Ovis aries: one gene and its partners. The protein of the gene in region 1 interacts with the protein of each later gene in a pairwise test. Links are inferred from orthologs where the notes say so. Each region holds a gene or a part of one and is shown in the gene's direction. Other genes may lie near its edges.

What was found.
Region 2: the proteins of GIT1 (region 1) and C9H8orf33 interact in a two-hybrid assay, tested with the Homo sapiens proteins (2 studies listed by BioGRID and IntAct). The link is inferred for Ovis aries from reciprocal best matches to the Homo sapiens genes GIT1 and C8orf33.
Region 3: the proteins of GIT1 (region 1) and PFDN1 interact in binary tests that used the Homo sapiens proteins (3 or more experiments, as listed by UniProt). The link is inferred for Ovis aries from reciprocal best matches to the Homo sapiens genes GIT1 and PFDN1.
Region 4: the proteins of GIT1 (region 1) and ARHGEF7 interact in binary tests that used the Homo sapiens proteins (3 or more experiments, as listed by UniProt). The link is inferred for Ovis aries from reciprocal best matches to the Homo sapiens genes GIT1 and ARHGEF7.
Region 5: the proteins of GIT1 (region 1) and HMOX2 interact in a two-hybrid assay, tested with the Homo sapiens proteins (2 studies listed by BioGRID and IntAct). The link is inferred for Ovis aries from reciprocal best matches to the Homo sapiens genes GIT1 and HMOX2.
Region 6: the proteins of GIT1 (region 1) and PPFIA4 interact in a two-hybrid assay, tested with the Homo sapiens proteins (2 studies listed by BioGRID). The link is inferred for Ovis aries from reciprocal best matches to the Homo sapiens genes GIT1 and PPFIA4.
Region 7: the proteins of GIT1 (region 1) and RGS2 interact in a two-hybrid assay, tested with the Homo sapiens proteins (2 studies listed by BioGRID and IntAct). The link is inferred for Ovis aries from reciprocal best matches to the Homo sapiens genes GIT1 and RGS2.

What each region holds. Positions count from the first base shown.
Region 1 is NC_056064.1:20,780,384-20,785,000, reverse strand, and holds the start of GIT1 (ARF GTPase-activating protein GIT1), read left to right. Parts: upstream 1-1,573; 5' UTR 1,574-1,773; coding exon 1,774-1,825; intron 1,826-1,848; exon of another isoform or gene 1,849-2,747; intron 2,748-4,617. UniProt on the Homo sapiens protein: GTPase-activating protein for ADP ribosylation factor family members, including ARF1.
Region 2 is NC_056062.1:13,261,657-13,266,255, forward strand, and holds the start of C9H8orf33 (UPF0488 protein C8orf33 homolog), read left to right. Parts: upstream 1-1,610; 5' UTR 1,611-1,637; coding exon 1,638-1,643; intron 1,644-1,722; coding exon 1,723-1,768; intron 1,769-1,865; coding exon 1,866-2,008; intron 2,009-2,198; coding exon 2,199-2,283; intron 2,284-2,426; coding exon 2,427-2,573; intron 2,574-3,055; coding exon 3,056-3,195; 3' UTR 3,196-4,599.
Region 3 is NC_056058.1:49,170,023-49,174,542, reverse strand, and holds the start of PFDN1 (prefoldin subunit 1), read left to right. Parts: upstream 1-1,445; 5' UTR 1,446-1,461; coding exon 1,462-1,494; intron 1,495-4,054; coding exon 4,055-4,221; intron 4,222-4,520. UniProt on the Homo sapiens protein: Binds specifically to cytosolic chaperonin (c-CPN) and transfers target proteins to it. Binds to nascent polypeptide chain and promotes folding in an environment in which there are many competing pathways for nonnative proteins.
Region 4 is NC_056063.1:84,874,746-84,878,624, forward strand, and holds part of ARHGEF7 (rho guanine nucleotide exchange factor 7), read left to right. Parts: intron 1-936; coding exon 937-1,015; intron 1,016-1,183; coding exon 1,184-1,323; intron 1,324-2,899; coding exon 2,900-3,124; intron 3,125-3,879. UniProt on the Homo sapiens protein: Acts as a RAC1 guanine nucleotide exchange factor (GEF) and can induce membrane ruffling. Functions in cell migration, attachment and cell spreading. Promotes targeting of RAC1 to focal adhesions. May function as a positive regulator of apoptosis.
Region 5 is NC_056077.1:4,218,029-4,220,957, forward strand, and holds part of HMOX2 (heme oxygenase 2), read left to right. Parts: intron 1-762; 5' UTR 763-787; coding exon 788-873; intron 874-1,958; coding exon 1,959-2,076; intron 2,077-2,409; coding exon 2,410-2,901; intron 2,902-2,929.
Region 6 is NC_056065.1:561,491-565,369, forward strand, and holds part of PPFIA4 (liprin-alpha-4), read left to right. Parts: intron 1-1,254; coding exon 1,255-1,495; intron 1,496-1,944; coding exon 1,945-1,980; intron 1,981-2,199; coding exon 2,200-2,333; intron 2,334-2,633; coding exon 2,634-2,800; intron 2,801-3,879. UniProt on the Homo sapiens protein: May regulate the disassembly of focal adhesions. May localize receptor-like tyrosine phosphatases type 2A at specific sites on the plasma membrane, possibly regulating their interaction with the extracellular environment and their association with substrates.
Region 7 is NC_056065.1:11,622,992-11,627,365, reverse strand, and holds the start of RGS2 (regulator of G-protein signaling 2), read left to right. Parts: upstream 1-1,317; 5' UTR 1,318-1,346; coding exon 1,347-1,456; intron 1,457-2,473; coding exon 2,474-2,575; intron 2,576-2,676; coding exon 2,677-2,738; intron 2,739-3,304; coding exon 3,305-3,471; intron 3,472-3,752; coding exon 3,753-3,947; 3' UTR 3,948-4,374. UniProt on the Homo sapiens protein: Regulates G protein-coupled receptor signaling cascades. Inhibits signal transduction by increasing the GTPase activity of G protein alpha subunits, thereby driving them into their inactive GDP-bound form.

The sequences.
Region 1 (4,617 bases):
GGGCTGGGCGCCCAGTAAGAGCGGCCAGGCCACTCCTCCCATCACCAGGGATGGGGCCACCAACCCCACGGACTGACTCCTCGGTGAGGGTGCGGCACGGGGCGGCAGGTGGTGCTCCCCACAACCCCACCCCACCCCGCGAGGTATCTGTGCTCGCAGAAACCCTGCCAGATGAGCGGCTGGCTATGGGGGGAGGGGATGCCTGCAAGATTTTTTTTAAAGGTGCGATTATAAATACACCCTGTGGATCGCAATCTCAAACAAACTTGTCAATCTGGGCTGCAGGGAAAGGCGATGGAGGCAGCTTTGCATATATTTCGGGTGGAGTGACTCATGAGCATTACTCGTCTCCCCCAGGGAAGCAGCCTGCCACCCACAAGTCACTGCTGCTCTGGCACCGCCGGGATAAAATGAGCCAACTCCAACACCCCTGCCCAAGGACTCCCCTCCAGCCCCCTTGCTTTTGAGCAGGACTCCTGGCCATGGGGAACCCTCCCCTAACCTGGGGAACCTGCCTTAATCGTGTCACCACTACCCTGGCCCTTGTGCCTGGACACCCTCGCCCTCTCCCAACAAACAGAGCGCTGGCCTTTTGCTGCTGCAGGGATGGGGGTTGGGTGCACGTGGGGCACACGTGTATGGGGGAGCATGCTCAGTGCAGGGGTGCACCCATGTGAGGCCTGCGCCTCCTCTCCCTGTCACCCCCACCCCTCCAATGAGTCTCTCCGTGAAGTCCAGGAAGAAAGACCACCACAGAAAGGATCCCTATATGTTATATGTCCACGCCCTAGACACACACTTCTGGTGGCTCAGAAATACCGTTGATGTACACAACACTGATACCAAGTGGATATTTCTGCACACAGGCACAGTGTTCACTCCTCAGGAGGTCTTCAAAAAAAAAAAAAAAAACCTGTCCATTCTTTTCTCTCTGGATGAAAGCATGGAGGACGGATAGATATCTTTTTAGCCCAGAGACTGGGGGATTCACTGCATGACCTCTGGTACCTGGCCGTCCATATTGTTGGCGGTGGGCTAGTCAGCAAGAGTGTGACCACACACACACACCTGGACACACAAATGTGGATACACGGGAGGACCGGAACGCACAATTCAACCCAAACAGACAAGCGGGTACCTCGAACCACAGCCCCTGGATAAGGGGGGCCCGGGGCCTCCAGCTCCTCACTCTTCTCAGATGCCCAAGGGTCACTGTCCCTGGGCCCGAGCTCCTCAGGCCACCCTCAGCCTCGAAAATGAAGGGGACGAGGCTGTGAGGCGAACTCGCAGCGTCTTGGCGGCAGGGGCGCACCTAGGCCCGGGCCGCAGGCGGCGCTGCGCGCTCGGGCCTGGCGGTGGCGGCCCCTTTAAGGGCCCCCGCCCCCTTCCGCCCGCGCTCCCGGCTTCCTTTCTCCGGGAGGAGCGGCGGGCTGGGCCCGGCGGCGGGGCGGGTGTGCGGGCCGCCCCTCCCCCGGTGGGCCGGGCCTGCGCCGCTTCCTGCAGGAGCGGCCCGGAGCCGCGCAGGGGGCGGAGAGAGCGAGCGGCGGCGGGGCGGCGCGGGGCGGCGCGGGGCGGAGGGCGCCCGAGGGCGAGCGGGCGGGCGGGCACGGCGGGTTCCGGGCCAGCCCCGGGGGCGGACGGTTGGCCGGGCGCGCGGAGCCTAGCCGGGGCCTTGCCGGAGCCGGGCCGGGCAGCAGGGGCCGCCGCCGCCCGGGCCCGCCGCCCGCGCCCCCCACGCTGGCCCAGAGGGCTGCGGCCGCGTCGCCGCTGAGGATGTCCCGGAAGGGGCCGCGAGCGGAGGTGTGTGCGGACTGCAGCGCCCCGGGTAAGCGGGGCCGGGCCGGGGGCGGGACCGCGCACCGAGGCGCCGCCGGGCGGGCGCCGGGGCCTGGCGGGCGCGCCGTGCGGGGCCGGAGGGCGGGGCGGGGCTGGGGGCTGCGGCCTCCGGTCTCGGCCCCCGCCCGGGCCGCTGCGGAGCCGCGTCCTTGGAGGGAGGGCCGCTCAGGGGGCCGCGGTTTGCTCGCGTCCGTGGACCAGCGAGGAAGGACATTCCCGGCGCCGCCTCCCGCCCCTCAGCTGGCGCCCCCCCCCCGCCGCCCCCCCCGCCTTCCATCTCTGGGTCCAAACGGAAGCGCCAGCCTAGGGTGGCCAGGAGGACTGTGGCGGAGGCCGGCCGGGCTTCGGAGGTGGGGGCGAGTGTGGTTTTGTGTCATCGCAGGGCCACCCCCGCGTCTTGCACCTGCTGCTCTCCTGGTCTGCGCGCCCGCAGGGGTGGCGGAGGGCAAGGGGCAGAAAGCCGGGCAGATGGGCCGGCGTGGGGTGGGGGTTGTCTGGATTCTGTTTTCTCGGGAGCAGACGGCGGGGTGGCTGCTCCTAGGACTCCCTGCCCCTGGCTCCCAAGGCTCCTCGCAAGGCCTGGTGTTCAGAGCCACCACAAGCTTGGGCATCGTCCCCTGAGGCGTCCCCAGGCCTGGTAACGGGACAACGAGCCTCAGCTTTTCCTGTGCTCCAGTAAGGCCTGCTTGGAAGGTGGCTTGGCCATACCCCAGCCTGGGCACAGACCTCTCTCCCTGTCCCCTAGCCCAGCCTTACCAGAAATGGGTAGGGAGCATGTGGAGGGGTGCCTACATTCCCGGGACCCACCTGGCTTTGTGGCCTGCCTCCCGGCTGTATTTTCCGTGCTGTTTCCCTTCTTCCCACCAAGTCAGGTCCAGGCTGATGTGAAACCCCCCTGACCTGCCAAAGAGGTGAGGAGAAATGACCCGGAAAGGCTGCTCCCTTCTGATGTGGGGGGACACTACCAGTGATCGGACTCTGCAGCTGCCTTGGGGAAAGGGGAAGCCCTGGCCCTTGACCATCCTCTCTTTAGAAAAGGAGCTATCTCCCTGGGAGACCTCCGGGCAGGCTCAAGGGGGATCCATGAACTCCAGGAGGACTCTGGGCACAATTAAGTGGAGAGTGTGGGCTGCTGTTTTGTGGCCCATCACTTCCTGCTACCCTTTGGACAGGCCCAGGGCTTCCCTGGTGGCTCAGTGGTAAAGTATCCACCTGCCAATGCAAGAGACCTAGGTTCAATCCCAGGGTCGGAAAGATCGCCTGGAGAAGGAAACGGCAACCCCCTCCAGTATTCTTGTCTAGGAAGTCTCATGGAGAGAGGAGCCTGGCGGGCTACAGTCCATGGGGTTGCAGAAGAGTCGAACACAACTGAGAGAGGACCCCAATAGGTTGAGACCCACAGATGCGCTGGTGGTTTCAGTGGCTCCAAGCTTGAGTGTTTGGGCACTGTGGGATCCCAGGAGGTGCATGGTGGTCTGGGTGGCTGTGACCCTGAGGCCTCCTCTCAGGGCATGTCATGGTCTCTTAGAGGTCCCTGAGGAAGCTGTGTGTCCAGGGATGTGGGGTGTCCTTACCTCTGGTTAGTTAGAAACTACTATTTCCTTACCCCCAACTGCAGGCAGGTCTGGGGGATTAAGCGCTAAGAGGAGAGCTTGCCTTCTGTGTGTTGGTCCAAGGCTGTTCTGCCCCTCTGCCGGGCTGCCCCTCTGCCCCGCGGAAGGAGGGAAGGAGCATTGGTGGGTTGGGAAGGTGTGGCTGGGAGGGGGTTGCTTAACAGACACTTTATCATGGAAACCTGGATTTTTGTGTTGCCTTTGTTTCTAGCTTACTCTCTGACTCATGGCAAGAGTTTTCTCATGCTGAGTCTCAGTTTCCTCAACTCTGAGGCCAAGAAGTTGGAGTAGGAATGGTTTTTGAGGACCATCCCATCTCCAGTCTGCGGTCCTGATTCTGGGCAGGGGGACGCAGGGCAGCGTTAACAAGGCAGTTGTCCTTTCTCCATTGCCTTTGACTACTTGATTGGAAGCCTCTGGATGCCCGTTGGGCATGGGCAGGAGTGGTGTGTCTCTCATGTGTTGGGGTGCCTGGCTCCTATCCCTGGTCCTCATCCCACAGAGTCCTGTGTGCTCCTGGGAACCTCCCCACCCCCACCCCACCCCCGGGCCCCGATCCAGAAAGCAGGTCAGGAGGAGGCAGGTGCTGAGGTGAGGATGTGAGGCGTGCAGGGTGCCGATAAAGTCTTGCTCACCCCAGCACCCAGCATGGTTTCTAGCACAGAGCAGGCATTCCCCCAAGGGATTGGAGGCTTCTCAAGACCCTGACTTCTCCTTGGGGCATTTTTCAGTCTGGGACCTGTAACAGCCCAGGTAAGAGGCTGGAGAGAAACTAGCAGTTTGGAGCCCAGGCCCAAAGCCCCCTCATTGGTGTGTGGTTCCTACCTGAAGTCGTAGGCCTCTCACTGTATTCGGAGCCCTGCAGACCCAGCCCTGGGAGCGGGGTTGTTGTCTCTTTGTGAGTGGTGAATTTGCGGGGTCTTGAGGTAAAAGGTGAGATGAGCCTGACGCCAAAGAGCCCCATCCTCCTCCCAGGCCTGGGTGCATGAGACAAATCTTGAGTGTGTTGTGAGCGTGGCACGGCTGCCAGCCCTGGCGGCTGGTGCTGTCTCGCCAGGCACCGTCTGTGACCCTGCCTGCCTTGGGAACCATGGAGGATGTGTGTCTCCCCTGTCCCGCCCGTCCACTCCACCTGCCGCACAGCCGGCTCATCTCTAAGGGCGTGCGT
Region 2 (4,599 bases), on another chromosome or scaffold:
GCAGCTACTGAGCCTGTGCTCTAGCCCAGGAGCTGGAACTCAAAGCCCGTGGTCTGCAACAAGAGGAGCCACCACAACGACGTGCACCACAACTGGAGAGGAGTCCCCGTTCACCACCATTGGAGACAAGCCCCTGCAGCAATGAAGACACAGCACAGCCAAAAACAAATAAATAAATGGTAAAATTAAAAAAAAAAAAAAAAACTGAAGGAACTATCGGGATGAGCAAACTCTGCTTTCTGATACCGCCCATCCTCTTGCCTCAGGCAGAGACCCAGATTTCTCTGACAGGAATGATGAACAGCACCGCGCACTCCCGCCCTCCTGATGCCTGTGAAAGAAAGTGAAAGTGAAGTCGCTCAGTCGTGTCTTGTGACCCCATGTGACTCTTGTGACCCCATGGACTGTAGCCCACCAGGCTCCTCTGTCCATGGGATCTTCCAGGCAAGAATACTGGAGTGGGTTGCCATTTCCTTCTCCAGGGGACCTTCCCGACCCAGGGATCGAACCCGGGTCTCCGTCATTGTAGGCAGACGCTTTTACCGCCTGACCCGCAGGGAAGTCCCTGACGCCTGTGCTGCGGGGCCAACAGCGGCTGTGCAGTAGGGTGGCCCTGGGCCGGGGGCCTGGAAGCGCAGGGAGATGGTGCCGACCACACAGCAGCGTCCGGGGAAGGCCGCGACACTGCGACACTCCTCCGAGGGATGAGGGGGTTCCCTTAACCCCCGAACCCCTCTCTCACCCTCTTCCACTTCTCTTGAAACAGAAGCCGCCTGCGTTTCGGTCCGGGGCCCCACGACCCGCCCACCTCGCCGTGTGGCTCGCCCCCGCCCTGCTTCCTGCTGCCAGAGCAGCCCCGCCAGGGCTGCAGCTCCTCGGAGGACTTTGCTGACCACTCCCCGCCCTGCTGGGGCCACTGTTACAGCGTCGCTCTCAGTGACAGCTATTCATGTCTGTTTACGGGCCTTCTTTATTTTACTGTTTATGTTTTTTGTGGCTGCGACGGGTGTTTGTTGCTGCACATGGGCTTTCTCTACCTGTGGCCAGCAAGGGCTATTCTCTAGTTGCAGCCACAGGCCTCTCGCTGCGGAGGCTTCTTCTGTTGCAGGGTTCAGGGTCTAGGCTCCGCGCCTTCAGCAGTTGCCTACTGTGGGCTCTGCTGCCCAGGCACGTGGGATCTTCCCAGACCAGGGATCCAACCCGTGTCCCCTGTGTTGGCAGGCAAGTTCTTAACTGCTGGGCCTCCAGGGAAGCCCCCTGTTTTCCCACTGTTCCCGCCCCACTAGCAGGTGGTTCCCTTGAGTAGCAGGTACGTTCCCTTGAGTAGCGTCCCTTCATCCAGAGCAGTGCCTGCAACCTCTCCAGTATCTTGCCTTAAGAATCCCAGGGACAGAGGAGCTGGCGAGCTACAGTCCATGGGGTCGCAAGAGTCGGACACGACTGAGCGACTAACCCGCCACCACCACCTGCAACCTAGTAGGTCCTGAGTGGGTCTCGTCCAGGCGGTACTCCAAGCGCCCGCGCCCCACCCACAGCGCGCACAGCCCCCGCCCCGCGGAACTCTGCGACGCAGACTTGTTTCCCTCGGAGCGTATTCGGCGTGGGACCCCAGCCCTCCTTGGTCCCAGCGGGAGCGCATGGCGGTAAGCGGTGTACAGGTGGGGAACGCCTTTGGGCGGTCGGCGGCTCCTCATGACCTTCGTCCTTTCCCCCTTTCCCCAGGCTCCAGGACATCCTGCTCGGGAGACAGCGGCAGCCCCAGGCCCAGGTACTGCCCGTGCACCCTGCAGCCCCTGGTTCCCCAGGCTGCTTCCTAAAGCCCCGAGTCCTTTCACTGTAAGGCCTCAGCCAGTCCGTCTGCTTAGGGCGCCCTACGTGCCGTGACTCTGCCTCGAGGACCAAGAAGCAAAAGAAGAAAATCCAGGATGGGTCGTCTGTTGCCAATGGAAGCGGGAAGACCCCAGAAAAACAGGCCTCCGAGGAAGCCCCCCTAAGCGCAGAGGCCCAGGCAAGGGCGGGCCTCAGTCGGGAAGGGTGAAGTCCCGGGCACGTACTGGGCGGGAGCCCGCCTGTGGGTGTAGTCCTGGATTTACAGCGGGAAGTGGGTGAGATGCGGCGTTTGGGGTTCCTATGGGATGAGGCTGGAGGCCCCAGCGCCCTGACGCCCGCTTACAGTCACTAACCACAATCCATCATAGGCTGAGCAGCTGGCTCGGGAACTGGCCTGGTGCGTGGAAAAGCTGGAGCTGGGACTGAAGATGCAGAGACCCACCCCTAAGCAGAGTGAGGGCCCATCTGTAGATGGGGGAGGGAAACGGTGACAGTCCTATGGCCTCAGGTGCTGCCAAGGGATGGAATTGTTGCCTTTGCGGTAGGACAGTTGGAAGTGAGGATAAAGGTTACTAGTCCTTTGTTTTCATTTGCAGAAGAACAAGCTCTTGGAGCAATCCGAACCTTGCGCAGCCAGAGAACCCCCCTGCCCCGGAAGAGGCAGCTGATGCGCTCTTTGTTTGGGGACTACAGGGCTCAGATAGAAGCCGAGTGGCGCGAGGCCCTGCAGGCTCTCAGGACTGGTGAGAAGCTGAGAACTGGTTGATGAAGAACTGCCTAGTTCAAGGGGGCAGAAGGAAAAGCCTGGGCAGTGAAAGGGGGAAGCCTCTAGCAGCGGGACTCCCACAGTAGGAGGGGAGTCAGGAAAGCCGCGGGGAGAAAGCCTGAGGCGCGGGTCACAGAACGCCGGCTTGGACTAGGGAGGCAAGGAGAGCAGCGTTAGTGAATCTCTGATTCTTAAGGGTGTGAGATGATAGTACTTACCTTATAATTTTGAGAAGCCAGTAAGTTAATTTTTACAATGAGTTTAGAGTTGTATGGGCAGTTAATGTTTGCTGCTGCTACTGCTGCTAAGTCACTTCAGTCGTGTCTGACTCTATGTGACCCCAGAGACGGCAGCCTACGAGGCTCCCTCATCCCTGCGATTCTCCAGGCAAGAACACTGGAGTGGGGTGCCACTGCTATTATTATTAAATTCTGATACTGTCCCTCTCTTCGCTTACAGCTGCCCACTCAGCCCAGGTGCAGCCTGTAGGTGAGGCTGCCAGAAAAAAGAGCCGAAGGGTCTGCAGACCTCGACCAGAAGGAAGGTCCAAGGGCACCTCGGATACTCGTGATGAAGAGTTTAGGTTTAATTTCTTTTAGCCTCTTCCCTAGAGTGGCCACCTCTGCAGTGGGGCAGGGTTTCTCTGGAGTGCAGCACTTTTCCAGGAATGCTGTGGGGGGCAGATGGGAGACCTGCATGTTGGGTGCTGACAAGCCCAGGACCCCATTTCTAGGTTTTCAGCTGAGATGTCCCTCCTGCCAGAATAGGGAGTTCCTTTAGATGGTTCTACAGTAGACTGAAGTGAGTGTTCACACTGTGTTGTAAAACAGCTGTCCCCAGCCTTTTTGACACCAGGGACAGATTTCATGAAAAACAGTTTTTCCCCAGAGAGGGTGGGAGATGAAACTCAGGTTGTAATGCAAGCAATGGGGAGTGGATATAAATACAGATGACTCTTTCCTTGTTCGCTGTCTTCATCTCCTGCTGTGTGGCCTGGTTCCTAACAGGCCATAGACCAGTACTGGCCCAGGGGTTAGGGACCCCTGTTATAAGACTCTCAACAGTCTCAGGAGCAGACTAAGTAGGTATTGTTAATAAGGGTTAGTGGGGAAGCTGTATAGTTGTACACTGGTGCTCACTTATGGAGGGATGTCCTCTCAAGTGGTATGGCGCTCCATACCATTGAGTCCCATTGCTGTAATAAAACTGTTTCTTATAAATGTGGATAAGCAAAAGCGTGTGCTAACTGTGCTGTTACGGGAAATGTAGACGAGGTGGTGTCAGGCGCTGCTGGGTCCAGGCTCTCACCCCAGGGCTTGGTCCTTTGTATCGCCTTCATTCCTGAGCAGGTGTCATCCTCAAGGAGCCAGTGTATCCCCCAGCAGCCCAGGCTTTGTTCTGAGGAGCAGGTAGCTTCTTGCCCTAAGAATCCTAGCCAAACACCAGCATTGAATCTCTGGGCAAGCTCTGATGTCAGCTGCTCCAGGTGATAGTCCCAGGACTTCTGCATTAAGTCGGGTTTTCACGGTGGCTTAATTATCTTGTGACTGTGATGCCATCTTTGGTAGTGTCTCCCAAACTTGCAGACTAGACAGAGACCCAGAGCCCATCTGCCTACTCAGCATCTCTGCTTTGGTGTCTCACAGATATTTCACACTTGACATGTTCACATCTGATTAGTCCCTAAATCTATCTGCTGCTTTCCAGTGAATTCCACTACTGCCCACCTAGTTGATTAGGCCCAAAATCTGTCATCTCTGCAAAAGGAGTTCCTGGATCCAGTTCCAAAGAGTGAGTGAGTGTGTCTGTGTGTGTGTGCGCACCTTGGCTTCCTCACACCAACAGCAATTCTTGGATGTCGGCAGCATGTCCAAAATTCAACTCAGTTATGATGCTATCTACCCAGACAGAGTCAGATTCCACAGGAAAGTGCTCAACCTCACAAGACCCAGTTCTGCTTCACGCACCAGTTGCAAGTCCAGGTTGTTACCTGTATTTCTGAC
Region 3 (4,520 bases), on another chromosome or scaffold:
CATAATGTCCTCACATTTTGTTTATCCATTTGTCGAATGATGGACATTTGAACAGCTAATAAGTCTAATAAAAAAAAATTTTTAAGACAGATAGTGTCATGTGTCTTGAAAAAGGAACAGAAGTAGTCTTGAAATTCCAAGGAGAGATTATTTATGGTCTGTGTGATGTAAAAAATAAAAAAAATACATAATGGATACATATTATGTGTCTGCTGCTTGCTGTATCTTGAAAGACAAATATAACAATGCTAACTACATGAACTTAATTATACCTTTTTATTGTGTGCCTACTGTGTGCATTGTGCTATGCTTGGAGCTTTCCATCCTGATCTTGTTTACTCCTCAGAATAACTCTGTTAGGTCAGTACTGTTATTCTCATATTAAATGAGGAGACAGACTCTGTTGATACACAACTAGTAAATGGAAGCAGACATACCTACGCTCAGTGTAGACCAAACCTTGAATACAGATTTGTTTAGTTCCAAACTCCCTGCCCTTTCCCCTGCCTCACAGGTTTTTAGAGTAAGGAAGATATCCATTTCTTTCATGTCCATCCTTCTAGTCATCCTTCTGGTTCAAATGCCAGCTATTTTACAGCAGATTTTCAAAATGTGGTTTGCAGTCCACTTAGATCAGATCATAAAAGGAGTTTGCAAAAGTATGTATTTCTGTGCCCCATATCAAAGATTCTAAGTAAGTTTGGGATGAGGATCAGAGAATCTGCATTTTTTTTTTCTTTTAAAAAGAAATTTGGTTTCTCGTGAGAACTCCTGTGTCTACAAGGTCTTCTGAGAACATTCAGTATAAATAAGTTCTTTGGGAAAACGCTTCAACTAAGCCTTCTGGACACGGCTGAGCGACTGAACTGAACTGAAGCCTTCTGGTCTTCTCCATGCTGCCATGTCTGAAACTCAGGCTGATTCTTTCTCATCCCTCCCTGACAGCACAGGACTCGCTGAAGGCATGAATGACTTTAAAGGTTTTAGCTTGATCTACATACATCTTAATTTAGCGACACAAACTAAACTATTTGTCGAAGTGGTTAAAACCACACACGAGGGGACGGAGGCGGGAGGGGGGTTCAGGATGGGGAACACGTGTACACCCGTGGCGGATTCATGTTGATGTATGGCAAAACCAATACAATATTGTAATTAGTCTCCAATTAAAATAAATAAATTTATATTAAAAAAACACACACACGAAATCTGCAGATTGTGCCGTGTTTGGAAGGATGTGGAGAATCACGGCAGGCCCATAGGTCACGTGGGGAAGACGTACTCTGAATCGGAATCCCGGTTATTTCAGGCGTTAATAACGACGGGGAAGGTAGGAAAACCAAGCAGCCCCACTCATGCGCAGGCGCAGAAGGAAGAGGCCCTATCAAATCTTCAGGGCGCGCCCTTCCCCCACGCTCTTTCCGGGCTTCTCCCACTGCGCAGGCGCAGTAGTGAAGCAAGATGGCGGCCCCCGTGGATCTGGAGTTGAAGAAGGTAAAAGAGGGTCTTGAGCAGGCAGAAGCTTTTCTTTGGAAGCTAAGGCGACTGTGGACAATAATGTCGAGTGAGTCTCGAGTGCTGCGGAAGGAAAGAGGCCCCAGGGAAATGGGGAGTGGTTTCTCAGAGTGCAAAGGCGGGACCGGGCCTCCTTAGGCGGGAGTCGAGGGCGAGCGGCTCTTTGCCGGGTAAGAGCCGGTTGGGCTGGGCCTGGTTAAGTTTGGCGGGCCTATAGCTGTTTTGTTCCCTTGTTCCGAGCTCCAGAGACCTTTCGTTGCTCTTGGTGCCTTCAGTTCCATAGTGAGGCCTGAAATGAGCGCTTCCAGTTGGAGCCTCTTAGCCTGCTTGCCCGAGCTGTAGCATCTGTAATTCTGTATACTAATTTGCTTTGAAAAACTCCAAGTCCAGTCTGTTTTTAGGTCAGTTCTTTAATCCCATATCTTGTAAGGTCGCTTCATACAGTTCAGTCAGGTATCCTCGTAGCAATGTTCATCTTAGGGCTTTGCCAACAACCGCCCCCTCCCCACCCTCGTTTTTAAAGATTTGTCAAAGAAGAAACAAGTCAAAGGTTTCCAGATCAAATTGGTATCAGAAGGAATTGAGTTTCTCTCTTCAAACAATTGCCTAGAAATGTGTTGTTACACAGAAATGTTTTCACCACCTGAGAGTTGTCAGGATTCTAACACCACTACCGACTCAAAAGCGTATCCTTTTTTTTTTTTTTTTTTTTGCGAAGAGAAGGAGAATGGGGATTGGAAAGGAGCCTAGACTTCATCTACTTTAAACTGATACTTTTCTAGAAAAGGAAACAGTTTAACAGAAGAGTCAGCCCAAGCTTGGTTCTAGAATATTGCATTCTCTGCCTCACTTTCCACCTTTTGACCACTACTTGAGGTTAGAAGAGCAAATTTTGTTTAAGACTGTCTTGTAATCTATCTTTGCATGAGAAATAAGACAGTTGAAGTAGCTCTTCCACGTAATAGATGAAGCAGTGTATTATTGCTCTGAGGATTTGTGTGTGTGTATTGCCTTTTGTTTGGAACTTGTACCTTTACTCCTTATGGTGCTGTCTAGTGCTGTATTATCTCAGCTTTAACAAAATACTAGCTTCCTTACCAAACTGTGTCTTAAAGTGTTTTAAAAGTTTACCTTTTTTTTCCGTTAAAAGTTCAAATTTAAGTTAGGGTTTAGTGAGAGCTAACAATAGAATACAGCTATGAATGGACTTACCCCTCAGTATTATTTCAGTCTGTTGCTGGGAAACCTGTGGACAGTGAATGCAAACTAAGAAGATAATTACAGACTTAAATTGGGTAGTTTTGTCAACCAATAAAATTACAGAAGAAACTTGTTTAAAGGTCTTTTAATGTTTATAATTTTGGGGGGAGGGGAAGGGATGGAGACTAATAGGAAACTTTAGGTACCTCCTCTCCCCTCTAGATAAACCTTTTGAAACCTTACTAGTAGGTGAGAACAAAGTCAGAATAAAAGTTAGTAGCTTTTTGCCATGTATTGCAGCCACAGATGTTATTATTAAGTCAGAATTTGACAGCATGTGAAAATCATTCTAGGCACTTCAGAAGTATCAAAAACCTTTTAACAGTACTCAGAGGTCAAGTTTGGCTTATCGTGTGCATATGAAGATCATGATGCAATTCTTTTATCAATGCTTTGAATTTTTTTGTGTGTCTTTCTCTTAAAATATTCATTTTCTGAATATTACTGTGGATAGTAGAGTAGAAAGATTCAGTAACTAGCGGTCAGAAGTTAATTAAGTACTTGGTTTTTGACCTAGTAGTTGCTCAGCCCTGTGAAAGTCATTTATATCTCTTTAAAACATTTAGTTAATTTGTAAACTGTGCTGATGAATCTGCCATCCTTAACTCAGGATTATTGAAAAGAGAAAATGAGACATTTATTATATGTCAGTATTCTCATATTAATATTCACATGTTAATATTTCAAACAAGTGTGGGAAAGTGCTTTAAATAATCTTGAGTAGTACAGATGTGGTGAGTTGTTACATTAATGGTTCCTGATTTGGGTCTCTGGGTTTGTGATTGTTGCCTTTAGAGCTTTTATTAATCCTTGGGTACCTGCTACTTGATATGGTTGTTATTTACCGTGCCTTTGTTCAGCTTCTTCAGATAGGTTGCATCTTCTGAGGACTGGGTAAGTTCAGTACAGTTGACTCTTGAACAGCATTGGTTTAAACGTCAGGGATCCAGTTGTACACAGATTTTTAAAATAGTAAATACTAGAGTACTACATGATATGTAGTTGGTTGAATCAACAAATGTAGAACCAGGGATACAAAGGAACTGCTATATGGAGAGTCAACTATAAATTATACTTGGATTTTCAACTGCACAGAGGGTCAGTGCTTCTAATCACTGAATTGTTCAGGGCTCAAGTTTTTAGCAGACTGGCTTTGAGATGTTTGCTGTGGTAAATTTCACGGCTTTGTCTGTTTAACAGGCTTCATTTTAATAGATTTGATATAGACATTTACTGTAAAATGTTGCACCTACTAAATCAAGGACTTATTTCTTTTTAGGCCTTCACAGAGCTTCAAGCCAAAGTTATTGACACTCAACAGAAGGTGAAGCTTGCAGATGTACAGATTGAACAGCTGAACAGAACGAAAAAGCATGCACATCTTACAGATACAGAGATTATGACTTTGGTAGATGAGACTAACATGTATGAAGGTGTAGGAAGAATGTAAGTAAAGTATATCCTTAAGGGGGTTATCCTGAAAGAAGTTTACCTGAATTAAGTCATAGAATTTGTTCACTTTACAACTTGGGTTAAAGTATCATAGTAGCTTTAAAGAACACTAGGTCAAATATCTTTTTTCTTTTAAATGAGAAACTGAGTTCTAGGTAAATGTGTTTAATCTTAAACTTTGAAGTACATTTTAAAAATATTTATTCCAAGTTCTTCTCTCCATACTTAGGTACTTATGTGTGTAGCTTGAATGGTAAAAATATGATTTGTTGTGAAAAGATGTTTATAGTGGT
Region 4 (3,879 bases), on another chromosome or scaffold:
GTGTTTCCCGTCAGGCTTCTCCGAGCTCTTGGTCAGCCCAGTGCCGTGGGCCCCTCGGCAGGGCGTCTGCAGTGCCCATGCCCGGCTGCAGGACAGGCTCCTGCGCGCGGGCCCCACTGCCCGTGGACCGGATGAGGCCTGTGGGGCTGCGGAGGTGGCCGGGCCCGTGTGGTGCTCTCGGCGCCTGGCCTCTGCCCGGGTGTCAGGAGTCCGAGCCTTGTGGCCTCAGAGCCGCCCTGCTGCTCAGGGCCCTGCTCCTCGGGGCCCTGGCCCTGACCCGAGAGACGCTCCCTGCAGACTCGCTCGGCCTCCACAGCTCTGGTGGCTATTATTCGAGGGGCTCGCTCCACGGCCCAGTTCTGGTTCCGCTCCCTGCCTCACGCCCTCTGTCCCAGAGCAGGCGGGCTGGTGCTCTTCTCTGTGTTGTGGGCAGTGCTTGGCGCAGCTGCTGACGGACAGTCTGGTGGCGGATGGCCAGGCGCAGTCTCGCACAGTCCCTCCGGCTCCAGTCGCCTGTATTTGCCTTTGGATGCGGAACTCGCCCCGTGTTTCTCTAAGGCACATCTCTGCTTCCTTTCTATAAACAGCATCATTTAAAATAGCCACCGTGGACCCTCGTTGTTGTTTTTTTTTTATCACACGTATGATGTTTTTGTGTCTTGCTGTTTATATTTAGAGTAACTCATCAGATGAAATGTTTTTGTTCTGGTTTGCAGCCCTGTACCTTTTTGCTGGCTCATTTCTTGGTTATAGTATTACAATTTCTTACTCAAGGTAGAGGCTTTTGTATTATATATGCCTTTGGTACAAGCAAGAGAGTTTGCTTTACAAAGACAGTTCCTCTGCATTGTCTAAAATTGTTTAATATTTACTTTAATAATGGTACCTCCTTTACTAGAAAAGCACTGACTGTTTTTGTTGGGGGGTCTTTTTTAGGGAAAGCTACCAACGACAGGAATGACAGTCACAAAGCTTGAGGACAGTGAAAATCACAGGAACGCGTTTGAAATATCAGGTGATAGGCGCGGGCTCTGTGGGTGCCCTCTGTCCGGGTGCCGAGGCCATGGCCCTCGTGTGCGGGCCCCGCTGAGCCCCCGAGGGCTGCATGGGCGTGCTGTGGGGCCTCCTTGGGGTGCACATGTGTGCGCTCTGACGCCCTCCAGCCCGTGCCTGTCTCCTCCAGGCAGCATGATCGAGCGGATCTTGGTGTCCTGCAACAACCAGCAGGACCTCCACGAGTGGGTGGACCGCCTGCAGAAGCAGACGAAGGCCGCCTCGGCAGGAAACCCCAGCAGCAAGCCTCACTCGGTGCCCTCGCACACCGTAAGGGCCCCGCCCCGCCCCCGCCCGCAGACCCCGGGCCAGGAGAGCGCCGCTGGGCCTCGGGCCTCTCTGCAGACGCGTCCTCATCCCCCGTGGGCCGCGATCGCCTCACGGGGACCCACTTGTGAGCCAGGCCTGCCTGTCTGCCTCTCGAGAGTTCACACACACACACACGCACATAGTTCACCGGTTAGGCGCCCGTCGGCACCCGCTTAGGCAGCTGCCCTGCCCAGGGTGGGCCGCGAACACTACCTCAGGGCTTGTGAGGGTCTCTCCTGGGACTTCTCCCACATGGTTCACCCTGGGGTCGCTGCCCTTGGGCTTGAAGGGCCGTCCCAGGGACGGTGGTCATGGCATGGTGTACTGGTCACTGCTGCAGCCTCTTACTCCATTTCTCAGCAGTTTGGGGGAAAAGCTATTCATTTGCTTCAACTATCATTTTGAATGGTTTTGCCATGACAGCTTTTCCATATTGTAAATGTATTCTAGAGATACTTAGCTTTCATGGGACTAAATTTATCCCAAGGGCATCGGTGTGTACATGTGTGTCATCCACAGGGAGTCCCTTCTCACTCAGGTGGTAACAGCCTTAAACCAACCTCTACAGACTCCCACCTCAGGGAGCCATGTGCCAGGACCCTGGCCTTTCTGGTCCCAGGGCAGCTGTGTGGTCATGGCAGAGTCCGCTGCTTCTGTCCTCGAGCCCTAAGCCTCAGCTTGAGCCCAGGCTCCCCTTTAAGCCTGTGTTTCAAATATTATTCATTTCTTCTGAATAATGACCTTACTCTGGTTTCCAGCTCACAGAACAACTCAACTTTTTTTCCTGTTAAGCATACTGTATTGTTTTGGGTTAATTCGAGGTCACTGGCTACTTTTGAATTGTTTAAAGTTCTAATTTGTCATTGTGATCGAATACTTTTGGAGTTTCTAGGAGCATAAACCCCATTAATAAGGTCCTTCTGAGAAATTAAATTTATGTAACCTGGTCTTGATTAAAGCTGATTTTTCTGAGAAAATGTTTTACCCAAGGGATTGGTAAAATTTTTCTTCAAAAACACAGTAAATATTTTTTTTTGGTTTTTAAGCACTATGGTCTCTGTTGCAATTGTATTTTGCTTTTATAATATAAAAGCAACCATTGACACGAATAGGCCTGATTGTGTCCCAGGAAAAAAAATTTTTTTTTAACAAAAACAGGGATCAGGCTCTACTTTTGCTGGCGAGGTAATAATTATGCTCCCCCAGTCACATTCCCAGGGCAGAGAATGCCCATTCTTTTATAAAATCCTGATATCTGTGTTAAATGAAATGCCTTTTTTGCAAACGTGACTGCTTCGCAGTTAAAGGCGGTCAGTGGGTTTCCGGGTCTGGACCCAGCAACCTGCTGCTTCCCGCCCTGAGCTCAGCAGGCCTCACGCAGGGTGTGGGGGATGCTCGGCCTGACGGCCAGTAACCTGAGCGTCGGGACATTCAGGATGCACGCTAGCAAGTGGGCGCTGCTGTGCTGGGAGGGCTGGGCTGGCCTCGGGTCCTCTGGCGGTGAACGCGCTCTGCTCTCTCCCTCTGTCCCTGGCAGCTCCCCTCCCACTCCATCACCCCGTCCAGCAAGCACGCGGACAGCAAGCCCGCGCCGCTGACGCCCGCCTACCACACGCTGCCCCACCCCTCCCACCATGGCACTCCACACACCACCATCAACTGGGGGCCCCTGGAGCCTCCGAAGACCCCTAAGCCCTGGAGCCTGAGCTGCCTGCGACCAGCACCCCCTCTGCGGCCCTCGGCTGCCCTCTGCTACAAGGAGGTGAGCCCTAGTGAGTGTGGAAATGTGACAGCCCTGTGTTTGTGTCTGTGACATGGAGCCGATGAGCCTCTTCAGAATGGAAGGCTCTGCCTTCTCTCCCTTGTTACCCTTCCTGTGCTCCAGAGCCCCAGAGTCCTGGGGAGACCCCCTCTGTGCCCATAACAGGGAGAGGGACAGGCTCGGGGCACTGTTTGCGCTTTGAGGAAGCCGGTTGACGACTGTGGTGATCACACGAGCGTGCTTGAGTGTGAGCCGAGTTCAGTTGCTCTGGTGTGGTTGTGGCTATGAGTGTGGGGGGTGTGGCTCGGGCGGTGGGCTGGGTGGGATGTGGGTGAGGCTGTGAGCATGGTGGGTGGGACAATGAGCTTGGTGGGCGGGACAATGAGCCTGGTGGGCGGGGCCTGTTCGTGAGCCTGGTGAGGCGCTTTTGCACCAGTTTGCATCTCAGAGAGGCCACATTTGACGAAGGACCTGGGCAGACCCTGCCTCCATCCTTGCTGGAGGAATTTTATGGTACATGGGGGAGTACAACATAAATTACAGTTAATCCTGTATGGGTTTTGTTAGTGAACTTCGGTTCTTAGGACATGTTTCTTCCTGGTGGCCCATTTTGGCATCCTCGCTGCTTAGCTCAGTGTGGTGGAGTGCAGCCACGCCCTGCTGCGGGTTCTTACAGGGGAGGGGGGAGTAGGGTACAGGAGAGAGAGGCTTGGCGGGTGTGGCCGTGGACATGTCCAGTGTGCTGGGCACACAGG
Region 5 (2,929 bases), on another chromosome or scaffold:
TGGCCTACGAGAGTCACTTCCTCCTGCTCGGCAGAGTCTGGAGTGGGCTGGAGGCAGTCTGCTCACGTGGTGACTCAGCGCAGCTCGTCAAGGGCCTTAGGAGCTGCTCCGAGGGGATGCTGTCTGCGCAAGGGCACCCGCCTCTAACAGGCAGGCTGGCTGGTTCCAATGCGCTCACTGCCACACTGAGAGCTGCTGCACAGCTGCTTTATTTAAGTCATATTCCTTTGTTATTTTATGTTTTAGGAAACTTTTAATTTTTATATAATCTCAAAAATACAGAAAAGTCGTAAGAATGGTACATAGAATCCTTGTGTATGTTTCATCCAGGTTTACTGTCAGCACTGACTCAAGTGCTTCACTCGTGTGTCCCCCCACGGCAGTGTATGTGCCTGTACACACAGACACACACACACACACTCTGTCTCTGAGCCATTTGACAATAAGTTGCAGGTAATATGCCCCATTGCTTGTGACTACGCTAGTGTGTGTTTCCTAAAACAAGGACATTCTCATAAATAACCACGGTGCAGTTATAAAAATCAGTAAGTTCAGCATCAGTACAGTGCTGTTACCACTGTCCATATTCACATTCTGTCCAAAGCAGATACGGTCCGCGTGACAGCAGAGCTTCATTTTTATGAGGACTTCCCTGAGGCCTGTGGCGCCTCCTGGTGGTGGTGCTCGGGGCGAGCAGAGCCGGCGGGCGCCTGGGGAGTGCCTGCCCCGGGCGCCACATCCCCTGCTCCCGTGTCTCTGCAGGACCAGAGGCGTGAGAGCAGCCGCCATGTCAGCGGAGCTGGAGGCCTCAGAGGGGTTGGATGAGCCAGAGAGAAGGATCTCCGGGGCCCCAGAGGAGGAGAACCACACCAGGTGAGCGGTGGCGGCCGTGGTGCAGTCAGGTCGCGCTGCCAGGCCCCGGGGTGCTCCGCGCCCGCCGCCTCCTCCTCACCCTCGCCCCCGCCCCACGTAGGGAGGCAGGACAGGCACTGCTCCGAGCGCCTAGTGGTGGGATTTGATGGTGCTCCTGGCCGTTTCTTCTTCCTGGAATTCTGAGCGTTTTGTCATCTGGGTTGAGAAAGGGTAATCAGAGGCAAAGCTGGCACCTTTCCAGTGTCTCCCATCCCTCAGATGTGGGAGCAGCTCTTAACTCCAGGGCTTTCCTTATTGGGTTGGGGGCAATTCACCTGAAGCCTCCAGCCACCCAGGCCTGCTCTTCATCATTGTCAGCCTCTCCTTATAGCCCTGTCATTGGCAAAGTTCTCTTTTTACATCTTGGAATAATTGCTGAAAATAAACTGTTGGCAGCACGTGAGTGGTACGAGCCAGTCTCCTAAAGAGGCCAGCAGAGACTGGCCGTGAGAGGCCAAGCTTTCCTCGCTCTGGTCAACGACTGTGGATGGCGCAGGAGCCCCTGCCCAGCACCTGCTCTGCCTTGTCTGGCGCTGGCATCTGTCACGTAATTTTGTTCAGCAGCACAGGCCTTGGTCCTGGCTCGTGCCTCCCCAGCCTTGCTCTCACTCCCTCCTCCTGTGCCGGGTCCCAGGCTCATGTCCTCTTCAGGGGCTGTGGGTCCAAGGTGGGAGGAAGGCAGCTGGGCCACCCTAGGAGCTGCATGGTCAGTTCTTCTCAGGGGTGTGGATCCTGGGAGACACGTTCCCCAGAGTCATCTGTTCCCTGAAGTCATACACTGGTAGGGTTAGCGGTGTGTGTTTCTTCAGGTGGGCACAGAAGCCAAGCATCACTCATTTGGGTGCTTCAGAGAGACCCAGGCACGATGGAGGAGTGTGTCAGAGTCATCCAGAGTGTCGCCCGAGTCCTGGGAGCAGACCCACATCTGTCTGTGCTTTGCTCCCTGCTGAGAGGCTGGAATCACGTTTCTGAGCAGCCTCTGCCTCGAGCTTGGTGAGTGGTCAGCCTGGAGTCGGAAGGCTAACTCACACATGGTCTCTCCGTAGCATGGCAGACCTTTCCGAGCTCCTGAAGGAAGGGACCAAGGAATCACATGACCGGGCGGAAAACACCCAGTTTGTCAAGGACTTCTTGAAAGGCAACATCAGGAAGGAGCTATTTAAGGTTTGTGCCCTCAGTTGTGAACTGGGTCGGGTTGGGGGCCCTTAGTCCCACAGTGCCTACCCCCCCAGCCTTCCTCCACGTGCCATGTTTTCTCAGCATCAGGCTGTGGTTTCATGTCTTAAAAGGAATAAGGTAGTAATGTAAAGGGAGTGGTCCGTGTTCCAGAGAATTCGTGTCATTCCTTTAAGAAACAAACGCTTCCTGCGCACGTGAAACATCTCACTGTATGAAAGTGGGGAGTGGAGGGGGTGCTCAGGAGTGTGGGCAGTGGGCTTGGGAGTTGCTGGCCCAGGCCCTGGCCCTCTCCCATGGTCTCCCCATCACCCCTGGCAGCTGGCCACCACCGCGCTGTACTTCACGTACTCGGCCTTGGAGGAGGAGATCGACCGGAACAAGGACCACCCAGCCTTTGCCCCCTTGTACTTCCCCATGGAGCTACACCGGAAGAAGGCGCTGATCAGGGACATGGAGTATCTCTATGGCGAGCACTGGGAGGAGCAGGCGCAGTGCTCCGAGGCCACCCGGAAGTACGTGGAGCGGATCCACGAGGTGGGGCAGAACGAACCAGAGCTGCTGGTGGCCCACGCCTACACCCGCTACATGGGGGACCTCTCGGGGGGCCAGGTGCTGAAGAAGGTGGCCCAGCGGGCCCTGAAACTCCCCAGTACGGGGGAAGGGACCCAGTTCTACCTGTTTGAGAATGTGGACAACGCACAGCAGTTCAAGCAGTTGTACCGGGCCAGGATGAACGCCCTCGACCTGAACCTAGAGACCAAAGAGAAGATCGTGGAGGAGGCCAACAAGGCCTTCGAGTTCAACATGCAGGTACTGCCAGGGAGGGTGTCTGCCGGCA
Region 6 (3,879 bases), on another chromosome or scaffold:
AGGCTTCATTTTTCCTCCCAGGTCTTTGGAGGCTGTGTTCCTGACCTCCTACAGCTAAACACAACCACTTTTGTGTAGTGCCCACATACTGAGGCCGACTCAGGGTGAGATCTTTTGTCAGTCTTATCACAGTCACTGGAGGAGACAGCATTACTTCCATTTTATAGACAAGGAAACAAATCAGGTAGATTAAATGATTTGCCCAAAGCAGTGCGCTAAGTGGCAGAGCCAGGAGTCAAAATTTTCTAAACTCCGTGCACTGTGTCATGCCATCCATCCCTAATGAAGCATCAGACAGAAACCACTGGCAGGGAATGTTATCAAGATCTGCACTTTACTCCATTTTTATAGAGAGTTTATTAATGTTTGTGGCAAATGGCAAAGGAAAGTCCAAAGCAGAGAACATCCATGCTTTACAGAGCTGTAGGGGTCATCTGGTTCAGTGGTTCCCACACTTTTGGATTTCACAGACAAGCTAAAAAGAAAATACTGCATAGACACACACACACACACACATACACACACGCGCACACACACACACACACATGCACACAGAAGGGTACTAACATAGTACTGCCGACTTTCATTCTACAAAATGAAATAGTAAAGATAATTACCATTTCCTATCATAACCATTCTATCAAAGAAAGGATATTTTAACATCCCTAAAGTTGGAAAGATATGCTCTGAGAATTAAGATAGGTCCTGCTTCTAAAGGACAGTTGGCATCATTATATATGTGTGTGTGTGTATGAGTGTGCATACACACATTTCTGAGTGCCTCCCCCATACACATAACATTATCACTATTATTCTAATTTTTCTGTGGAACAGGGAACATTCCATCAGGGATCAGCATCAATTAAAGGTTCTGTGTTTGAGAACTACTGACTTAGACCTTCCTGACATTGGATATATTTTTATAGTTTTATATAGTTTATAAAACTATAGTTTTATAGTTTCATATTCCACTAACGGACTTGCCTCCTTTCCTTGCAAACTGCTTTTGTTAAACTAGGGAGTTTTGTTACGTTAGGCCAGTTAACAAGACAGAAAATTGCTAAGCTGTAGTGGGATAGAACCAGCTATGCTCACAAGGTCTTGTATGTCCCTGCAATGCCCCCAAACACTGGGATACACCTGAGCATCGCCTTGTACCCTGGGTCACTGGATGGTGACTCAGGCAGTGCCCACACATGCCACCTGCTAGTCCTCTCTGGCTAACAGTGAGGCCCGATTTTGCCTGCCTCCCAGGATGATCCAGGAAGAGAAGGAGTCCACAGAGCTCCGTGCTGAGGAGCTGGAAACTCGAGTGACTAGTGGCAGCATGGAGGCCCTAGACCTGACCCAACTGCACAAACGAGGTTCCATCCCCACCTCTCTGACCGCCCTGTCCCTGGCCAGTGCATCCCCTCCACTCAGCGGCCGTGCCACACCTAAGCTTACCTCCCGAAGTGCTGCCCAGGACCTGGACCGGATGGGGGTCATGACCTTGGTGAGAGACTCGGAGCAGTTGATGAACAACCTTGTCATCACTAGACTCTGCTTCAGGGTTGACCGAGGGGGGTTGACTGCAGGGCTCACTGTCAGTTGGGGCACAGCATTTTCTTCTTATGATGTGTATAGACCTTGACATGCCAGGTTACCAGCACAGCCTTCTGGGTTTGGAAAGAGCTACGTGGTTACTTTCTTGCCCTCTCCCCTTGGGTAATGCTTAAGAAATTCACCCAGCGCCCACACGTCTTTCTCTCTTTCAGAGGAAGCCCTGATTTATTTTTTTTCAAGCCAGTGTTTTGTTGGTTTGTTTTGCTGTGATATTCTCTTCAGGCCTATATAAGGCGCTGAGTTCTATCTTCTCATCCTAAGACCACTGGGTTCCCCTTAGGGTAGATGTTCAAGCATCCAAAAGGTGAGTCCAAGCTCACCTGTCACTCTCTTTTCCAGCCCAGTGACTTAAGAAAGCATAGGAGGAAGCTGCTGGTGAGTGCTGCCTGATGACCCAGGTACTAACAGGTTAATTTTCCCCCGCCTTTCCCTTTCAACTTCTCCCCCACGGGCCCTTGAGTCTGAGTCTGAGCTCTGAGAGGTCCCGGCAGGGCCTCCCCTCCGCCGCTCTCTACGCCCCTCCGCCTGTCTGGGCTGGGTCAGCAAGCCCCCGATCGCTCTCTCTACCCCCTGACGGCTCCACTGTCTGTTCAGTCACCAGTGTCTTGGGAAGAGAACCGAGAGGATAAAGCCACCATAAAATGTGAGACTTCTCCTCCTTCCTCACCCAGGACACTGCAGCTAGAAAAGCTTGGCCACCCAGCCCTGAGCCAGGAAGAAGGCAAGAGGTAAATGGAGCAGACCCCATCTCAAGCCTCTCCCTCCCCGAGTTTACCTCATCCCTCTCTGCCTCTGAACAGGCTGAATCTCACCTATCCCAGGTGTCTGAACATCTCACTTCTCTTTGAAACACCATGAGAGAAGGACATTTCCATGTCTCTTTTGGTCCCATGCTCTGATCATGCCCCCTTACCCTTTCAACTCTGACACTTACTGTGAGTTCTTCCTGAAACCTAGCTCCTGTCTCTCATGCTGTAATTTACATCTGTTTCTTTTCACCCCACCCCGTCCTGGCTGTCATCCTGTAGTGCTTTGGAGGATCCAGGCAGCAACCCCAGCAGCAGCAACAGCAGCCAGGACTCCTTGCACAAGGGTGCCAAGCGCAAGGGCATCAAATCATCCATTGGCCGCCTGTTTGGGAAGAAGGAGAAAGGCAGGCTGATCCAGCCAAGCCGGGATGGACCCACAGGCCATGGTCTCTGTCTAACCCTAGTAAATGGGTGTGAGTAGGGGAGAAGCAGGAGGGTGTCCTTGGATCCAGCCTTCTCTGCCAGGGACCAGCGGGCAGAAGCCACAGACACCGAGATTCCGCTCCAGAGAAGCAGTTTTCTGTCAGAGCTGTTTCACAGCTGGAAGGGCTGCTTCATGAGGTGGTAGTTCCTGCCATGAGAAGTGTCAGGCATCAGATGAATGGCTGTTTATTTGGTATACTGTAGAAGGGCTTCCTGTATCAAGTGTGAGGTTGGACCTCTGAGCTTTCTTCCAGTTTGGAGGTTTTCTAGTATACTGTGCTCAGGACTTTCAGGAGAAATTTCTTGGGCTTTTTTTTCTCCTAGGAGAGTCACTTGTTAATTCCTAGTATATCTTGCCTCCAAGACTCAAAATATCCTAATGCCTAGTCATAACTTGGTAGACACTGTAGTCAAGTAAGTACTTGGGCAAGGGTAGCATTATTAACACCTCTATGATCATATAAAGTTCCAGTGTGTGCTTGGCATGTGCTAGGTGCACCGTAAATGTTAGCTGTCTTCCTGTCCCTTCCCCTGTTTCTTCTTTCCTTTCTTCCTTTCCCTCCCTTCCTCCTTTTGTTGCCCTCATCTATCCAGTTATTTGCTCAACAGACATTTATTAACTACTGTAGTAAGCAAGGCTTCATAGAGCAGTAGTCATTCCTTCAAGGAGTTCAGTTTCTAATGAAACAGAAAAAGATGATTCCAAAACAATATTAAGGTAGCAATATGCTTCTGGAATTCAGAGGTCAGTTATGAAGCAGTGGGAGTGATGAGAGTGACTTTCTCTGCTGGGCAACACCTGGGCAGAAGCTTGAAGGCTAAGTGGGAATTAGCCAAGAAGAAGCATTTGTGTGTGAGAGGGGGAGGGTGGGTATGAGAGTTTTGTACATAGTTGAATCTTTTCACAGTGGGGAGGGAAGGGTGTGGGAGAAACGGAAGAGGTGGGTTTAGATCCTGGGCTGGGGCTAGCTCATAAAGGCCTTGTAAAGTACATTATGGAGCCAGCCACAGACGGGAGGGGCCAGGGCTGAGAAGCTCTGGC
Region 7 (4,374 bases), on another chromosome or scaffold:
GGGACATGAGTTTGAGCAAACACCAGGAGATGAAGAACAGGGAAGCCTGGCAAGTTGCAGCCCATGCGACTGCAGTCAGAAATGACTTAGGGACAGAACAAAAGCCTTGCTGTTAATCTGCCTACTTAGATGCTTCAGGAAAAACCACCTGAATATTCCACTGTACAATTCTAATAACGGTATTTGAACTCAAGTCATTTTGGAGTGGCAGTTATCTACTTACCCTTACCAATCAAACCACTTAAATCCTGCTACAGCAAGATGATTTCTGACGAATCAAGACATTAAGCTTATTCAAAGAAGCTGTAAACGCCTCCCTCCCTCCACCCCCATCTCTCTTTTTTTGCCAATTAAAGTGTTCTGGCAAATTCTAAGCCAACTAAGAGTGACTCAGGAGGAAATCCTGCATGCTTGCTCTTTTACACTAAAATGATTCTGGTGCACGATAGCTGCGAGCTCGTGGTGTTTCCTTGTTAAGAGCTGTGATTTCTTTTTTTGTTCTGGAAGGAGAAGCAGCCAAGGACTCCTGAGAAATAAGTCTGCAACCCCACGGACCGACCCAGCCACGAACCTGCTGGTAATCAAAACCGCACACCCAGTTAAAGCACTTTCTCCTCTTCCCTCCCTGACCAATGTGCATTCCCCACAGAGCTCCAGGATGCTTGGGCACGCTGCAGAACAGATCACACCACTGCCCCTGGACTCTCACTGTTCCTCCCATTCTGTTTCCTTCCCCAAATTAAAAGGCGTCTCAAAGAACAGGTGAGGGTCAGTTCTCACATCAAGAAAGGAGGCGCGGAGCGAGGGCTTGCGCTCCAAAAACACATCCCCTTTTAAACCTAATTCAAAATAAGGTTACTGCATTCGGCTTCCCAATAAACAACCTTTACCTGCTTGGAATCACGGCTCCTTTGGGGGTCAGGAGCTCTGGAGCGCGGGGGAGGGAATGAGACAGGGAAGAGGCGGGGAGCGAGCGCCCCCGCCGTGCCTGCAGCCAACCTGGCTCCCTGCCCGCCACGGCCCTGCGACCCCACGGCCGGCCGCCACGACTGGGCAAAGGTCGCCTTTGACCGTTCAAAAGGGAATTTTCTCTGACCCCACACGAGGGCGGGCGTCCGGCCCGACTGCGCACGACGCCCGGGAAGCGGACGTCAGCGGGCCCCGGGTTTCCAGACCCTTCGGCGGCGCCCGTGACCGCGCGGCCCGCGGCCGCCGTCGGCCAATCGGTGCCCGCCGGGGGAGGGACCGGCGCCGTGAGCCCCGCCTTCGCCCTGCCTCCAATTATATAAATACGGGTGCCGGCGGTCCGGTCTCCCCAGAGCGGCGTTCCCAGGTGGAGGGAGATAATGCAAAGTGCTATGTTCCTGGCTGTCCAGCACGACTGCGGACCCATGGACAAAGGCGCTGGCACCGGCCCCAAGAACGAGGAGAAGCGAGAGAAGATGAAGCGAACCCTGTGAGTGCGGCTTTCTTCCTCCCTGACTGGCCGCCCCTGCGGACCCAGCTGTCCCGGGCGGCTGCAAACGCGGTACACTCGCGCTGGGCATGGGAACTGGGTAGCCTGCCTGCATCTCTGCAGGAAAAAAAGAAAAAGAAAAAATGTGTGTGTGTGTGTAAAAGGTTAATTTGTGAAGTTACGTTTAAACCTGTGTGGTGTAGGTATTTATTGAAGGACTCGGGTAGAGTTTAGAAACTGCAGAAAATTCTTGATGCAGGGGCGGAGATAGATGCTGGTTGGCTTTTTGTCTCCCTGCATCGAAAATGACTTCGGAGAATCCTGCAGCCACGCGCCCCCGGCCTTCTTGAGAGGCACCGTAAATTCTGATCTGCTTACACGACTGCTGGGATGGAGATATTTTTGCTGATCCTAGATATACTTTTAATTTTTTTTAATTGAACAGCAAGTCTCACCCACTCAAGAGTGTGGAACAAATAATTGTTCTGCATCACCTTCTTAAAATGAGTGCTGAAGTTGGGGGAGGGGGCGGTCAATCTCGCACACACACTTCATTGTGCACAGCTTCTCGGGTGGTCCCAAGCCCCCTGCTCTGAGAGCAGAAGGAAAACGAGCCTGGGCTGGCTCAGGGCAGGTCCACTGTGGGCTTCCTCAAGTGTGAAATGTCTCAGAATTGTAATTAACCGTTGCAGAAAAACTGGCTGCCTTTTGTGGGCCAGAAATAGCATCTGCCTTTGAACTATGCAAACTAAATTCATTAAAATACCCTATAATTGTAGGTCGTCCTATCCTTACTTATAAAACTAATAATTATGTTCAGATGAGTGGATGAAACTAGTGTGTTGAGTACTTAGATGCTGGATTAAAGGAGTAAGACTGACTGGAGGAGTTGTTTTGTCTTATTTGGCTTGTCTATAGCTACTGGGGGCGACTTTATTTGGTAAAAATGCCTTCAGCTGCAATGGCAGTTTCAAGTGTTGCTGCTAAGTGAGTATCTTTTTTTTTTTTCTTTTGTAGATTAAAAGATTGGAAGAGCCGTTTGAGCTACTTCTTGCAAAATTCCTCCTCTCCTGGGAAGCCCAAAACTGGCAAGAAAAGCAAACAGCAAACCTTCATCAAGTAAGTTGAAAATCTTGTGCTTGCCAATATGCACAGCTCACTGCTGAGCTGAAGAGGGAACCTCTGGCTAGCAGGAGCTGATGTGCAGACTTCTTTTGCAGGCCTTCTCCCGAGGAAGCCCAGCTATGGTCAGAAGCATTTGATGAGCTGCTAGCCAGTAAATGTAAGTTAACCTCTTGAATTGGATCCATTTCAAGTATCAGGAGAGTATGGTTTGGTTGTGTCTACACAGCAAGAGCAGCTTGCCCAAGGAGAGTTTGACTTTACAATCCCTGTTCCATGGGGCCTATTTTTCTCCTTTATTTCCCGGTGATTAACCAGGGAAATGCGTGGCTTTTTCACTCTAGGTGGGGAGTGGGGGGAAATAGCCCCAGATTGTAATGGCAGTTGCTGTCTCTTAAGGTTGAGTCAGCTTTTCCATTGCAAACAATGTTTTCAAGCGGCTTCATTCCCAAAGAACTTATGGCTCCCCTATCAGTTGTGTTAACAGCAAAGCTAAGTTTATATTTTTGTAGTAGTGTGCCAACTCACGCATTTTGCTGACTGGCATCTTAGTCTTTAAAGAGCTAAATTTTGACAATTACAGGTTTGAGTAAACTCAAGAAAATTGCTGCCATCTGGCAATAATAAAATATGGGACCAGGGGAGTGGGATTTCTAGGAAAACACATAAGGGAATATTTGAACACTCAATGCAGTTTCTGCATGCTTTCTTCCTTCCCTCCCCCAGATGGTCTTGCTGCATTCAGGGCTTTTTTAAAATCTGAATACTGTGAAGAAAATATTGAATTCTGGCTGGCCTGTGAAGACTTCAAAAAAACCAAGTCACCCCAAAAGCTGTCCTCAAAAGCAAAGAAAATATATACTGACTTCATAGAAAAAGAAGCTCCAAAAGAGGTAAAGGGGGAAAAAGTTCCTTATTTCAGCATATTTTGAACATCCTCAGCACCAAAGTGAAAATAATTTAAAGAGACCTCAAGTTAAAGGGGGGTGGGTGAGTAGGCTGTTTTTCCCCTATTTCTGGCTCTCAGTGAGGTTAATTATATTTCTTCACTGACTTAGCCGGTGACACTGGCCACACATTATAGTTTGGGGGTTTTTTTGTTTGTTTTCAAATACTACATATATTTCAACTTCTGACTCTTAATGTGGAATAAAACTTTGTTGTTTTCTTTCAGATCAACATAGACTTTCAAACCAAAACTCTGATTGCCCAAAACATACAGGAAGCTACCAGTGGCTGCTTCACAACTGCCCAGAAAAGGGTGTACAGCTTGATGGAAAACAACTCTTACCCGCGTTTCTTGGAGTCAGAATTCTACCAGGACTTGTGTAAAAAGCCGCAGATCACCACAGAACCCCATGCCACATGAGATGAAAGCAGGAGCCCAGAAACGGAGGACTTTTCATTTTTTTTCCTAAAAGGGGAAAGGCTGTCACCTGCCAAAAAGACTGACCTTGAATTCAGCCTGGGTGTTCAGGAAACATCACTCAGAACTATTGATTCAGAGCTGGGTAGTGAATCAGGAAGCTGGTCGCCTCGTAGGAGAAGCTGGTACTGGGTCGGCTTCCGTAACTGATGGAGCACAGAGAGAGAGAGTGTGGTCTAAATGTGGTGTGTCTCATGCTGGAAAAGCAGGAGCTTGAGACTGAAAGATAACGATGTAACACTATTGGTCCAGAAGCATTTACAATCAATAGGTCTGGGATTATGTGGCCTTAGCTAGCTGGCTGTACATCTTTCCCTAATCAGTCCTTGTTACCACATAGTGGTTTAGATGTAGTTTCTTTAGCTCTAGG